Linked DNA regions of Caenorhabditis elegans. The protein of the gene in region 1 purifies or fractionates together with the protein of each later gene. This does not show direct contact. Each region holds a gene or a part of one and is shown on either strand. Other genes may lie near its edges.

Region 1 (7,393 bases):
GTTCCAATTTGTCGATATAACTTGAGCTTCGATATGTATTCTCCTCGTCCTCCATACAGCCCAACTCCTACTAATCGAATTTCCTTGGAGACTTTAAATTGGATAGCTTCAACAGAATTTGCCGAGTATCCCCAACCACCTCCCGTACCATCAAATCGATTTGCAACTGAATAACCATCCATAATTGTTTTCTCGTGATCCTGTTCTCGTTCCCCATGTTTTTCCTTCCAGAATTCAGATAAATTGATAACATTTGCTGAGAATGTTGCTGATAAAAGTTGCATTCCAAGACTCATCGAAGTTGCATAAGCAGGACTGTCGTACACTTGGACAGCAAATTCGGCACCAGCTAGGAAAGTTAGGGAATCAAATGCATCGCCCACAGATTTTTCAGATTTTTTGAAAATGTCATATCCTTTGATTTCCATTTCTGCTGAATTGTAATACCACAGCATGTCATACTTCGGATCAGTGGCCCATGATGTATACCAACATTTGTAATCGCTCGCATGATGTTCAAAAACATTCAACTTTCGTCTTATTACAATGTAGTCTTTACCAACTTCTCTTGGGAAAATGAAAATATTCGTTTTGTTTGCAACAATTTGAGCTTTCAGAATATTATCAGAAGATAATAAAGCTGTATGACTATGGATGATTGAAGAATCACCATCGGCTCCGATCCATCCAGCGAATGCATTGAATCCAGGACCAAAACCAGAAACTTTTTCAGGGATCGCATTCCATCCAGCTTTCTCGCCAGCTGGTCGTGCTAGCTGACCTTTTCCAAATGCACCAAATGTGAAAACGCTTCCATCATTTGCCCTCAAAATTGTGTGATTTGAACCAGCGGCAACTTGGACTATAACTGTATCAGATGGAAGAATGACTTGCTGCGGAGTGTTTTTGCTAAGTGTATCTCCAACTCCTAATTGGCCATGGCAGTTGGATCCAAAAGTGAAAACTCTTCGATCAGATGCAAGAAGTACTGTATGAAAATTTCCACAGCTTACGCTTGAAACTTTTACATCATGAGGTCCTTGACTTAAAATTACACGTGACGGATGTAGAGTACTTCTTTGAGGAGCAGCTGTTGAACTGAATTGCACATGCTGAGCTCTACCAGGCTGTGCTGGTTCTGTAACCTCTCCACATGGTCTGCAAAGTCCACATCGAAGGCATGTTGACTCTCCAACACCGCAATGACACATGGTTCCCTTTGGTCGAGGAACTCTTCCACATGCTACTCCTCGTGCGGAGCAAAGCCCGCATTGAGCACATACCGAGGGTGTGTCAGTTAGCCACGTGTGTTCTCCGATAGGACAAATCTGATACTCTTGACGACCGGAATGTCTTGGAGAAGACGTGGTTGAAGTTGATTCAACTCTTCCACATTGATTCATATTGTTCAATCCCCATGTAAAAAGATGGCCATTTCGAGTCACAGCAACACCGTGAGATTTTCCAAGCGCTAATGAAGAAATCATCACATTATCCAGTCCATTTAACATTTGACTTGAAACATTCACTCTCATTGTATGAAGTCCTCCCATGAAAATCTTTCCATTTTCAGATACATATCCATAGACATGACCAGAGGCGCAAACATGAACAATTTTCCGGCGATTAGATGGAACAAGTCGACGTAGTCTTCCATTTCTTTTCTTATCGTCTACACTTGCAATCCAACCATGCCCTGCACCAGAACGAAACATTATTGTATCAATTCCAACAGAAATTTGAACTATTGGCTCGGGAAGACACAGTTCCATCCAGTTGTTCCCAGTTTCAAATAATCCGAACCTTGTCCCGTTTCCAGCGTAGTACACTTTTCCAGAGCGAGCTTGAATGAATGCCATTTCTCGAGTGAAGTGAAGATCAACAGTTTGAGCTGAAAATTGATATGTTCAAATTTCCATGTAAACAAAACTACTATTCTTACGATGAAGGTTTGCAGGTAGAAATTCGGGGAGTTGGTGAGGAACTTGAAGATCTCCTTGAATCGTGAACTTCACATCAGTGAGTCGATGACTTCTTCGTGATGATGGCTCATTGGAAGGGGAAAATGAATCATTTAGTTGAATTGTCTGAAATATGTTATTTATAAACTTTTTTGAGCTGTCATGTTATGTGTTTTTATTTCTAACAATAAGTAGAATTTTCACGATTAAAAGTGTTTAAAAATAGTTTCAATTAAATATCTTAATTTTTAATTTGAGAGAATAAATCCTACCGATAGTGTAGAATTGGCAATCAGAGTTGCACTGTAAAAGTATGTTCCATCCGTGAACAGTGCATGTTGTACACAACTTGGTGGTAGAATCACTTCTCCAATATCCAACAATGAATCCGTGTCAATCACTGATATGCATGATGAGTAATTTCTTCGTAAATACAATGATCCATTGCATAAATACATTTGCACATTTTTCGACGATTGTAAACTCTGATTCGCTGCATACAACTTTCCAGAAATTGTTTCATTCAGGCCGGTCCCCAACTTGTAGAGTCCAACATAATTAAGAATGTAGAGAAATGTTCCATCACATGCCATTGTGCTATGTATTCGATTGTCATCGTCGGGAGTGTCGGAAGACGGAGAGCTATCAGGAAGACTAGGTAGACTGAAACTGCTTGCTACCGAGTGCTCGTGAACATCTACCATTGCCCAGTTTGGTCTGAAATTTTGCATTTAATAAAATACTAATAAAACTATCATGGGATTTTGCAAGCTTCTAAGAAATTCTACTAAAAGAAGAAATTTGTGAACACAATACTACATATTTGAATACTTTCAACTTGAATAAAATACTCACGGGGAATTGGCAGTGTTGTCTCCGCCTAAAGCTTTCCTCCTCACTTTCAGTAGTAATTTTCTCAAATTTTCTGGCATTTGGATCATATCATACGTCGAATCGGCGCTCATTCGAATATTTTTCTTCATACAAATTAATGATCGAATTGTGCTTCCTAAATGCTCCGGCTCTCCACATGCAACTGATAAAGCCACAAGGCATGAGGTAGCTTTTGAGCTCACTGAGGGACAGGCATCTTCTCGAAGCGTTTTCAGAACGTGCATCATTGCAGACATTGATAAACGGTTTTCGGACTGAAGACAATCGATTGGCATCGATTGGATCAATGATAACAATGATTCGAGAGCTTGAACACAAAGTTCGGCGTCACGTCGACTTAATTGCTCGAGAACTTCGAAGATACATGTTAAACTAGCTCCAACCAGCTGATCAGTCTGAAAATTCATGAGAGCTGAACCATTTTTCACCTTTTAAAACAGTTTTTAATAAGAAAAAGTATTTCACACACGGGTTCCAAAAAGTTGTAGAGTTATATGTTCAGTTCCATTTTGAAATTTATGGTAATTTAGTATTCCAAAATTGTTTTATTACTCACCGGTTCAATTTCAAATAATTATTTTTCAAACCATATTCTATTTTTAGCGTTTAAAAAGGAAACAATTTTGAATCTAGCTGGGGGGATATCGTCAATGTGTAAAACACGGTTTCATAATTGTTTTTTCTGGTTTCCTTGCCGACCTATGTCCCAGTTTTGCAAGCTTCTTAACTACGTTTCGAAAAAAAATTTAGAAAAAATTTGGCTGTTGACTTTGAAACTTAATTAGAAATTTCAATGTATTTTTCATTTAATACTTTTTAACATTATAAAAACTCACATTTTTGTATTGCTTTCCCTCTTCATCAGCTCCACTGGTTCCGGCTTCCTCTTCGCTTCCATCTTCTTTTTCAGAAACTTCTTCTGGATTCCCAAACCGTGCAAGAATTGATTTGGCAATTGCTACTAAAGCAAAAGGCGAAGGTGGTCCCACAACAAATTTTGAGTTCAGAATATCATGAAAATTAATTTGTTGTTGCTGGTCCAGAGGTGTTTTGGATTTCTCTGAAATTAAAAATTATTTTTATTTTTATTATTTTATACTTCTCCAAACTACAAAAAAATATACTAACCTTCTTCTTTATCGAGTTTCCCGCAATGTGCTGGAACCCTGAGAATATCCGGTTTGCATGTGTTCTCGGCACATTTGTATAGCAATTTTCTCAGTCTTCGTGCACTTTTCCTATCTTCAGGAATCGACGTTTCGGTGCTCGTGGAACACACTCGTTCACCATCAATTTCTCGCAAGAAGAACGACATTTGGATATTCTTTGGAAAGTTAATAAAATTGGTTAAATATTGTGGATAGATTGATTCTCATCATTAGTGATCTGAAAAATTTAACTGTGGCATTTAGAAAAAAAAATAACAGAGAAACTCTGAGGCGTCAATTTCTCTGCAATTATGTGCATTCAGGAAATATGAGGAAAATTGAAGGAAAAGAAAACCATGAAACAATAACTAAATTTTAAGATCACAGGCTTAGTATATGCGCAGATGTGATTTTGAACGTAGCGCCAGTGGGATTTTTCTTGATTTTTTTAAGATTTGAAAGAAAATTGCAATAATTTAACATTTATCCTTACTTTTTGTCACAAAATATTTGAAAGTTTGACAAAAAAAAGGTTCGAATCATATCGCAGCTTTAAAAAATGAAGAAAATCGGATGAAGTTAGCAGGAAAGCGAAATTACTTTGATCGCTTATTCAAGAATAATTTAGGTACGATAATCCAACTCCAATTGAAGAAATTTTTTTTGAATTTTCAATTATCGTAAATATTATAGGCGTTTGAATGAAAATTACCCAAATTACAAGAAAAGAGGAAAAAGGGAAAATTGTGAAAGATTTTTGTTCACCAAGGAATAAAAAAGTATAAAGCCGAGCAAAAGCAATATTGACAGACTTTACTGTTTTCCGTTCGCTCACAAACCACGTGCCTATCCCTTGTTCTGTCCGATCACAAAACGATATTTCTCCGAGACAAAAACGTTTTTTTTAAATAAATGAACAAAATCTAGAACTCCGGGAAATTAAGTTTCCTGTCCGAATCATTTTGCTGATCTGCGAAAATCGAGGGACATTCATAGAAGAGACGAAGAGAAGAAGGTCCCACCCCCCGTAAAAGGGTATGCGCCCGTTTTGTTGAGAAAGGAAGAGAAGTGAGAGAGACACAGAAAGTGAGATGAAACCAAAACGGAGAAAAGAGAACGAGACATAGTGTTGTCTTTGTTGGAGACAGACTCGCTTGTAATGGACAGCCGGTCAGACATGAGAAATAGGACGCAAGGAGATGGAAACGGAGAGCAAGGGACGGGTGTCCCTAGATGGACGAAGAAGAAGGGCTCCGTGCGTGTATTTGTGTGTGTATCTGTGAGAAGTGTCGAAAAGCGGAGATGAGGACAGAAGAAGGAGAAAATTGGGTGTGGGTCCGGAAAAAAGGGAAAAAGATTTGAAATTAGATATGCCAGCTTGGAGAAGCTTTTGTTATTTCTTGAGAGGTATCCAAATCAGATTGTTTTTTTTTGCTGTGGGATATCTGAACAATATTCTAAAATACGGTATGTATTAAGTACCTTAAAATTTACCTGTTATAAGAGTTTGATGGCAGTGTTATTAACAATCTGAAATATAAATATGTATACTGAAATAGAAAAGTTGTTTTCAGCTATTCGAAAATAGACGTAGGTACATAAATAAATCTTGGATTAAGAAAGGTGTAAACAGTGACGTATGTGATTAATCGTATAAGCACCAAATTTTATCAAGTTTTTTTAAAACTTTATTGCAGCAAATTATTTTATTAATGTGGCGTATCCAAAACTATTAAAATTGAATACTTTTGATCTAGTGTTATGTCTTTCAATGTTGTCAACTGCTGAAACATCTGATATTCATCAAGAGTGTCTATACTGATCTATTTTGTTAAATATAATTTATTAAAAATTTCTGAAAATAATTGAGACTCTTGAAAAAATCCATTTAAAACAATCAAAATAGTTCAAAAAGTTCACATATTTTTATTGTTATAAAAATATAATAAAATTGCAATGTTTATCGAAAAAATGAAATTTCATAATTATTTAAACAATCCAAATTGTATAAACAGAAGGCACTCAATAAGTTCACATATGACTGAAAATTATGAAAAACTGGATACATGGATACATGTTAGAGATTTTGAAAATCGCATTGCTTTGTAATGTTGCTTAATGAAACGAAATGCTGAAAAATTGTATAATTTTTGAATTAAAAAGTTATCTTACATCTCTAAATCCTATCCATTCTCCTTCACTGCATGAGCTCACGATTTCTTCTTTCAAACAATTATCTTTTCCAAAAAAGTTTTGGCATGCAGATTTTCTCATTTCTTCCTTTTTCTTTTGATCAGTTTCTTTTTCGATATCATTTGGAAATGGATCCCAGTTTTCAAAGCATTGCGAGCTTTTTTCTTCTAATTTATCACTACATTCAACAAACTTTGTGGAGATGTAAATGATGGTATCACAATAGGTTTTGATCATTCCAGAAATATCAGAGGTTTCGTGATCAGTTGATGAAGTTTGACAATCAAGAGCATCAAAACAGTTGTGAAGAGAGTCACAGGAGCCTTTAAAATCATTTGTTTCTTCTTTATTGTCTAGGTCAAGTGCATCAATTTTCTCCAGGAAATCTTGCATTCTCTAAGAAAATAATGTTATTATAAACAAAAATATTTTAACTCACAAAAATACATGACAATGCTTTAAGTCCATCTCCAAGTGTGCAGTTGTGATCCTTGCTCTCTGCAGTTGCTAAACTTGCCGAATCTACCAGATAAAATGATATCGCCGCAAAAACCACAATTGAAAGAAATCTTCGCATTTTTCTAGAACGAGGATTGTTAAGTCTTTCCAGAAATGACCAGAGGCTGAATAGCAGAAATCGAAAATGTTGACCAAATCGAGTACCGAGAACAAGCGGTGGTTCTCAAATAAAAAGGATTTAGAATTAAAAAAAAAGCAAACTTCGTTTTTCGTTCAGAAAGTTTTTTAATAAGAAAATAATTATGGTAAAACGTTAGGTACCAACAACAAAAAATAGCTATAAAAGAATGATTGCCTTTGCCGCCGGAAACGGCTTTCCGGCATTGAACCAAAAACATTAAAGGCTCCTTTCAAGACATTGAAAGCCGAGGAAAATAATAAATCTTATGGGAACTATATAAATGTCAAGAAAACATGTTTTTATCTTTTCACCCTCTCCCTATATCCTAGTTTTCAATTTGAGGTCCACTGGCAACTGCTCAGGATCAAATATTGAAACACGTGTAAATCTTTATTTTTAGTTATTGCATCTAAATTAACAGCGACAACTGAATTAATGTTTTTTTGTGTTATATTATTGGTTTTTTTGTTTTTTTCTAATAATACATATTACATCTAATTTTTTTTCAAGCAAAACATATTATATCAAAAATAAAGTACTTCATTCAAAGAAACAAT
Region 2 (8,684 bases), on another chromosome or scaffold:
CGTGGAATATGGTGTATTGAGTTGGTATGCCAACATTATACAAGTTGACCTAAAAACAATGAACGGCAGTTCAGAGAAATTGTATTATATGGACGCATGTCAAAAAAATTTTTCGTGTCGAGGCCGAGTACCGTATTTCTGGTGCAAAAATCCGTGTAATACAAAAAATAAACAACTTCTCCATAAAACAGAAAAAAAATTTCACGTTAAAAAAAACTAACTTTTAAAACACTAACAAAGGTCAATGTCGTCGATTTGTTATCAGACAATCAATCAATATGCAAATCAATTATTCTCGATTTTCGAAACTTGAAAAGCAACTCGGACCGCCCGTTCTTCTGCTCATCAACTAATAAGATGCCCTGGTGAGTTAAGATTTTTACCAACGCAGTTAATTCCTGATGTGTTCATCAAGAACCTCATAGAATTGACATTATGGAGGCACGCCAACGAAATCAGGCAGAATGTGCCCCTTACGAATTATCGTTTTCGTAATTTAGGCATTGTGCCCTGTCTTCGATGGTTCGGGTTTATTGTGCCCACTGATGCATTCTGTGCTCATTGCAAATGAACTATAAATTCTAAAATTTCAAAATTTCAGTCAAAAGAAGTCAAACCCAACGGAATTGCACATCTCCACTGGCCGCGAGATCGTTCAACGGAACTTTGTGTTCCGCAACACCACTGGCAAGGACTTCCTGCTGAAGTTGCATGCTACGAATGAAGCCGTCACCTTCCCAACGGAAGTTTTCCGTTTTCCACCATTGGCTCATCGTGCCATCCAGTTCCGTGTGAACTCATCAAAGCTCTCCCAATGGGACAAGATGAATCTTTTGATCAAAGGATACGTGTTGCCGATCTATGCGAAGAGCCTCAAGCAGTTCATTGATCAGAAGAAAACTGCAGGAACTAAGGAGCAAGAGGCATTCTCATTGTCTGTCAAGTTCACGGATCAGTTCTCGGCTCCCCAGACAGTCATCAACTTGCCAGGATATGCCACGTGTATCGAGTCGACTGATTATCCGGTTGACGTGGAAGAATTGGACACTACAACTGCAGTCAACATCGAAAGAGGTACAGATTGATGCTTTGGTTCAAACTAATTAAAATCTTTCGATTTCAGATGTCTCCACTGCTGTTCCAATTGGTTCAATGATGGGATTTGTTGAGGAGTACAAACGTCGTCAATTGAACAAAGGATGCTGGTTTTCCAACTACATCTGTGGAACTGAAAAGCAACCGGAGAAGCAGTCAATGAGATCTTCTCGTAGATCAAGCCGTTCGTCGAATCATTCTGCAAAGAGCTCAAAGGCTTGCCGTATTCAGGCTAATAAAAAGAACAAAAGTGATGTCAATGTGTGCCTTGAAGCAACTCCGTGTGGTGGATCAACTATTCAAGCTTAGATTGAACTGTGAATGGCACTTTTGTATGATTTAATGAAATTGACTTGGTCGGGTTTCTTGAATATTTTCAGTAGCTTGCACTAACTATAAGCTGAAACATGTAATGTTAAAGAGACAATTATGCCTCTTCCATTTTTGGAGATCATTACGTCGCCTTTCTTGGAATTTCAAGGAGGAATGAGGCTTCTGATAACTGTCTTGAAAAACTAAATGAAGTCACACGGTGTTTGGTAAGTTCAGTGGTACGGTGAATGTAACTTAACAATTTTCGAAGCGCCTACAGAAAGGTGTGCGCCTTTAAAATAATACTGTAGCTCCCAGATCTTCATTTTTACGAAAATTTCCATACATTGTCTTACAATGTTTTGCAATCACACAAAATAACCTATTTTCAGATCTTCCATGTTTCTTCCAATTGCACCGTCGAAAGTTATTGCCTTTTTTATTTTGTAGGAAAAATTGAATAACATTCAATCATAAATTTTTTTAATCATAATCATAAAATCAATGGGAAGAACAAAAAAATGTGAAAAGAGACAAAAAGAAGAAAATACAATTGTCTAATACACATTGAAGCACTAATATTTCGAGTATTTCAGTATAAAACGAGTCATCTCACACTTTCAATGCTTGGGAAACAAAGACGCGTCATGGAAAGTGGACGGCTGATAAAAAATCATATTAAAAATGGGAGAGTAGGAATAAGACAAAAAATAAAATTTGAAAAAGGGATATGCAAAAGTTGGCGGGATGAACAATAGAGGACAACTTTTCATGTAGTGAAATTCCTGAATTTTTTCCAGATAACTCACTGCAATCAATTCATTACAATTCTAGAGAGATTTTGGCATTTAAATTTTTTTGAAATTATTCGAAAGGTATTTCAACCGGAAAATCTGTGAATGAAGAATGGGGGAAGAACAAAGAAAGTAAAATGCTATAAAAAGCAAGAAAAATTATATTGTTAACGTGCTCTATAAGGAATATTAAATTTTGGGTGGTTTTTGTTTTGTGAAGAAAATTTTTTGTGAAACATGATAATTGAGCAATATAAAAAACCAAAAGCAATGCAAGATAAAAAAGTAAATTCAGCACTATCACAGGGGGAAATCGTGTTATTTAATATTCGATATTTACACACCAAATATTACTCCGAAATTTTGCGAATTTTCTAAACTTGGAAGTTGGCTGGCGCTGGTTCATTGTCATCCTCCTCTTCTTCTTGATTCGCAGCGTTTACCCGTTGTTCTGAAATTTGAATATTTAATTTTTGAGAATTCGCGAAGCTTTTTCAACTAAAACCTCCATCAAAGTTGTTTATCACACGCGAAATATCTTGCTGAATTTGATTTTGATCTCCATCCTCGTTATTCTTCAAAAAGAAACACATCGTTTTGTTCGTCGAATTTCTGATTTACACAGATATTCATTCATTTGGTTAGTATTTAGAAGAAGAAGCACAACTATTCTAAAAAGGTGTTCTTTTTGAGAAACTAGTTTAATTCTATAAATTTATGTGATACTAACTACTGAAAAAATGAAAAAAAGAGGAAGAAGCAGAAATAATTTTCAAAAAAAAACTCACAACACCCGTAAATACCGCTGGGCGGGCACATTTCGTGAAAAGTGTATCTGGGGATTGTCCATGAAGAAGTCCCACGAGAACAACCTGAAAAATAAATATTAAATTTTTTAAATGTGTATATTTCGTTAAAATTCAACATTTTAATTTAAAGTCACATGCCGTTTTTCTTAGTAGGTCTCACCACGATTTCAACTACCATAGTCTAAAGATCTTGCAAATTACTGTAGTTTTTTTTTAAATTTGGCTGATTTGGAATCTTCAAAGATTTTTATTGATTATCTTACAATTTGTTAAAATTTAAGTGTTTCAAATTTTTTTGTTCCAGTTTAGTTTCTCATTAAAAGTTTTAACGAAAACTTATGAAAATTTCGAAGTTTGAATTTACTGTATATTTATATTTCAAAACATAAAATAAAGCTGATAAAGTGTTTAAAAATTTATTTTTGAAAAAATCAAACTTACAGTCATATTATCGCATCCGAGACCACCCATCTGACAATCTGGAGCCAAGCACCGAGTGAGAAGCTCTTCGCAAATCTGAAAATGAGAGAGAATACGAGATATTTACTTTATTTTAATCAACTTACCGATTGTGGATCCCTCTTCTCAGCAAGCTTCTCACGAACAAAATCTACGACTTCCTGATTTGTCATTACATCCCAAATACCATCACATGCAAGAACAATAAACTCGTGATCCGGTGTCAGCTTGTCAGTGATCACATCCGGGAATGCTGAAATTAAAGAACTTTTTTTAATTTTTAATTTCAAATTATTCTCACCAGTGACAATTTGCTCCTCAGCAGGCTTTGTGTCACAATTTTTGAATGCAAAATCTCCGAGAGCACGGGAAAGTGCCAAATTACCATTGACACGATTGAACTCAACCCATCCACCGGCGGCAATGATACGTCGAGCTTCGGTTTCATGAGATGGCTTGTGATCGAATGAAAGTGGACGAGCTTCTCCAACAACTGAGGATACTGCACGAGAGTCACCGGCGTTTCCTGAAAAATGGAGAAAAATTAAAAATTGACATTTAAAAATATTAAATCCTGGTCTTCCCTATACAGTTTAAATAAATATTTAATTTCAACGTTTTTTTCTATGTCACATAAACAAATCTGTGAAGTTTGAAGCTTGTAGGGATTACTGTGGCTGAGATCGTGGTGGGACCCACTCAGAAGTATTAAAAAATCAGCGTACGATTTTTACAACTTTATGATACACAGTTATCACAAATGTGTGCGTAATCAAAAATTAAAATTTTTGAAAAAATATGGAAATGTGTTTTTATTTTCTGTACCAATAATTTTTCTCCTTTTTTAAAGATAACTTTTGTAATACCGTGAAAGTTCAAAATCTAATAAAATTTCGAACAATATGAATTCTAATACTGCAAAATTCGAAGCTTGGAAGTTAATTTTTTATCGATTTTTACTGAAAACTGTTAGTCTTAGTATTGTGATTTTTTTGAAAAATACTCAGTGTCTTTAACATTTCCTCAATTTCCTTCCATTGACGTTTCAAGGTCAAAGTGCAAATCCGTGTCTCTTACCACAATAAACATCTCCCTCCTTTATCAATACAACAACTGCTGTCGTTCCACTAACATCATCCTTTGTCTCTTCATCAACTCTCATCTGTTGATCCAATTCTAGGAATCCTTTTTCGATTGCTTCTTTCATATTTCCCTCGGAAAATTCCTTCTGTGCGACGACTTTTTTGTGAAGATTAATTCCGGAATATTGTGAAACTTTCGATCCACCGTGTCCATCGTAGACAGCAAAGAATGCACATTTTGGATCATCAGGAAGAGAAAGGAGATGTGTATGGGCATCTTCCATGTCTGAAAAAAAAGAACATTTAGAACAATTTATTGAACTAATTATCATTTTTGAAGATAGTGAAGCTAATGGATTTTCAAGTCGCTAAGTACCTAAAAATGATGAAAATGATGAAAATGAGCTAAGGAGTTCTGTCTGAAGAGAAAGGGACTAATATTCGCTGATTTTTTTTTTTAATTTAGACTAAACATTAAAACAAATTAATTTCGCTATGTTATTTCTTGATTACAAACGTTTAAAATGGAAGTAAACGCTTAACAATATCCTAAATTCCTAAATATCCTAATTTATTTTATCACATTTTTGCTCTGATAACTTTCTTACCAACTCTCCATCCCTGCATACAACTGCTACCGACCAAATAATTCTCATTGGCGCATGACGCCGACTCTTTTTTAGTAACTGGCTCACTGAGTGTTTGTCCCATACTTCTGAAAATTGATTTTTATTTTATTTCAGTCTAAGTGCACTAAACAGTACTTTCAGCGGGAAAATTATGATGTTTGAACGATAGAAAAATGGGAAAGAGATGAAAAGACGAAAAAAATGCGAAAATATTTGAACGAAAAATGATCGAAGGGGGCGTAAGGTTATCACAATTTCAATGCTACCTGTTCTTCAATAAGGAAAGACTGATAGAACGTGTGTCACGTGATCAAAAGATAAAATGGAAAGCGTTTCCGAGAGACAGAAGAAAATTATGGAATTTTTCGATAGTCTATTTTCCAACAAAAAAGAAGTTACTGATAAATTTTTTGAATTGTTCGAAAAATTGTATTATCACAAATTTAACGGAGCAAAGTTCAAAATCGATGATGAAATTTGCATAATTTTGAATAAAAATTGAAAAAGAATAGTAGTACTGTACTAAAGGCGCAACGTGGTTAGCGAGTGGGTCTCACGACGAAAGATCTACAAGGAGTTTATTTAAAGTATCAGGCCTGGTTTTCTAAATCACTTGCTCATATTTTCTTTTGGGAAGTTTATTTCCGAAGAAAAATTGCGAAACAACTACATGATGTTCCCAAATTTAAATTTCGATAATTTCAAAAATGATTCCCAATTTTCAAAAATGTTGTATCCAAAATGCCCGCCGCCGCCGCCGCCGCGACTATTAACCCTCACAGCAAATAAAGAAAAGTTGAAAAAATAAAACGGCAAGACAAGCACAGTGATTTTATTGTATTCTAACCGATAAAAGTTTTCGTCTCAAGACCACGTGCTAGCAGGAAAAAAACGGCGGTCGGCCGGGAAATAAAAATGTGACACCAAGTTTCGGTTCTTCTTCGTTGCGTCGTTGGACGTCCCCGCGTCGCATCGAAACAAACATTGATACCGAGACACAAAAAGTGACGAGAGAAAAGACCGACAAACGGACACTAGGCTGCCAGGCGAAAATCAATAGGTAGTGAGAGTGTGTGAAGGTGAGAGGCACAGACATTCCGTTTCTTCTGTGACCACGGAAAATCACATGGCGCTGTGCGGGGAAACCCCCTCATGTGCGGGAACAACCCGATGCAGTTGCGCTCTAATCGACGTATGAAAAATCAAGGCAGTTTATCACGTTGACCAGGTTATCATTGGGGGAGAGTGATCAGAAGACTACAAAGGTATCGTTGTTGTTAAAATTGTTGAAATTCAAAATTTTAAAATAGCAACAACAAGTATTTTCAATAATATATGCTAGTTCCAGTGTACTTGTCAATAAAAATCTAGAAATGACGTGATTGTTTTATGTTGCTTTATGGAATTTATCATGTAAAATGTTCAACAATTTAGAAATAAATGTACTTAAGGAACAAAGCGATATATGAAACATTGAGATAGGAACGATGTATCTGAGACACAAAACCTATAAAGACCAATTTTCAAACTATCGCACAGATTGTGTAATAAATGTCACTGCAATCTGTGTGATGATGGTTTCTTACATTCAAATTATTATCAAGAATAGTGGTTTGGAAATTACGGTTGCCAAACATGCTACTAATGACGCACATCAGGTTTCTGGATGAAAGAAAATTTGAAAACTGAGCAAGCTTAGTTTAAAGGTGGAATACGGTCAATTGGGACTTCATGATAAACCTCCCAAATGAGATGACAGAGCAAAATATTATCAGAGGTTAGAAAAATCTCCAATTTTGGTCAATTCACAGTTATCATTAATATTTACCCTCGCCCATTTTTTTGGTGCCGCACTTGAAGTTTCTCCATTTTGGCTCAAATTTTCAAGTGAAAATTATTTTTGTTGAATTTAAGACATGAAATAAATGTTTACACAGAAATGATACCTTTTTTTTTGAAAATTGGAGACTAGACGAAATTTTGAAAAATGTAATTTGTTGGGTATCTACGTGTACCTAACCCTCAACGTGGATATGAAGATCGTGTAACGTGAACTCATTATCTATGTATACTAACTTTCTATTCATTCCTTAGTTATGTAATAATAAACTACTCGTCTTCGCCTCCTTGTTCGGCCTCGAATATATAACATTATTCAAACGAGAACATCTATCACAATTGAAAATGTGCCAAAATTAGCAATTTCCATCAAACTAGATACAGTTGTTTTGTTTTTATTTTGTAGTATTTTGGCATTTTGCACTAGCGTTATTCCTCCTTTAAACTTCAATTATAAAATCACATATCTAAATTTTCAAAAAAAATATTTTAGCAATTTGCAAATAGAGACACAAGCAATATAAATAACCATCAAAGCGTGGATCATGTTTTGAAATAACTGTAAAAAATGACAATTTTAGAAAACATTTACAACATCATTCTTTAACAAAGTTCCAGAAATGCAACAGAAAGGATGTCTCATTGTGAGAGTTGATGTTATCAGTCCTCACATGAACATAATTGACGTCTCATTTCCGGTTATGACGAGCAATTTCGTAACTCTCGATTTCCAAAACTTTCGATTTTTCCCAAATATTTAGTGATTCATATAACAATAACCATTCTTATTTTCATAATTCTTTGTTTGTGTCCCGCTTCTTTTTATTATTCTTTAGCAGTTATTTGTTCAGGATTTCTCATGTCTTTCGTATAAATTATATTCTTCACAGTTTTGGATTCTAAAATGAAAGTGTCTGGTAATACTTTAGTTCTTTCGATTTATTCTCGTTTTATTCTTTTGATCACGTTAAGCTATGCTGTAAGTTTTCTTTTTTAAAGATATTCTGTATGAAGCGGGATAGAATTGTTTTGAATTTTTTAAAATATTTTTGAATTTTTTCTCATTTATCAACGCGACTCCTATAAAAGTTCACTAAATTAAAAAAGTCTTATTTGTTCAGTGTCCTCCAAGTCTTGATAGTTTGAATCTTCCACCACCAGTAATTCATAGAGAATGCCTAACAAGAAACAGCTGCCAAAATGGATATATCTGCCGATTGAATAGATGTGTTGGTGGAAGAGCATTGGCAAGTAAAACTAAATATGTGAATGAAGAGGTAGGTTCTTTTCTAGTTTTATTGAAACTATGAGAAAATTCTGTTTTGAAATATGTATTTAAAATATTTTTCGGAATTTACGGAGTTTTGTTGTTTCTCTATTGTTTAACTTTGGCAATAATCTGCTTTTGAATAATTTCAAAAAATCCAACTTCTTCAAGATTTTTTCTTCAAAAATATTCAAAAAAAAATCTCATGAAAATTAAATAATCCCACTTCAAAATTCAGGAATCCGAGTACTCGTTAAAAATGGAACAATGTTGTGTGGATAATTTACTTCCGGAGAGATGCATGGGATTCTGCTCATTTGAGACTTATAATGAATCTTCCATCTTTCGACTGCTCGCGGAGCCCAGAAGATGTCCAAGTTCATCACTTAGAACTATTC

What was found.
Region 2: the proteins of rpm-1 (region 1) and ppm-2 purify together in Caenorhabditis elegans (affinity purification with western blotting; one study listed by BioGRID). This does not show direct contact.

The regions. Positions count from the first base shown.
Region 1 is NC_003283.11:8,815,786-8,823,178, forward strand, and holds the start of rpm-1 (E3 ubiquitin-protein ligase rpm-1), read right to left. Parts: upstream 4,171-7,393; coding exon 3,984-4,170; intron 3,916-3,983; coding exon 3,692-3,915; intron 3,251-3,691; coding exon 2,817-3,250; intron 2,679-2,816; coding exon 2,234-2,678; intron 2,088-2,233; coding exon 1,943-2,087; intron 1,892-1,942; coding exon 1-1,891. Other genes in the region: C01B7.7 (T20D4.11-like domain-containing protein), read right to left, coding at 6,081-6,134, 6,176-6,592, 6,636-6,773.
Region 2 is NC_003281.10:4,647,076-4,655,759, reverse strand, and holds ppm-2 (putative protein phosphatase 2C T23F11.1), read right to left. Parts: upstream 5,267-8,684; 5' UTR 5,263-5,266; coding exon 5,160-5,262; intron 4,838-5,159; coding exon 4,547-4,837; intron 3,996-4,546; coding exon 3,771-3,995; intron 3,723-3,770; coding exon 3,577-3,722; intron 3,527-3,576; coding exon 3,452-3,526; intron 3,074-3,451; coding exon 2,990-3,073; intron 2,777-2,989; coding exon 2,707-2,776; intron 2,653-2,706; coding exon 2,576-2,652; 3' UTR 1,874-2,575; downstream 1-1,873. Other genes in the region: T23F11.2 (Major sperm protein), read left to right, coding at 358-365, 602-1,074, 1,124-1,404; dbd-10 (DB domain-containing protein), read left to right, coding at 7,924-7,998, 8,141-8,296, 8,525-8,684.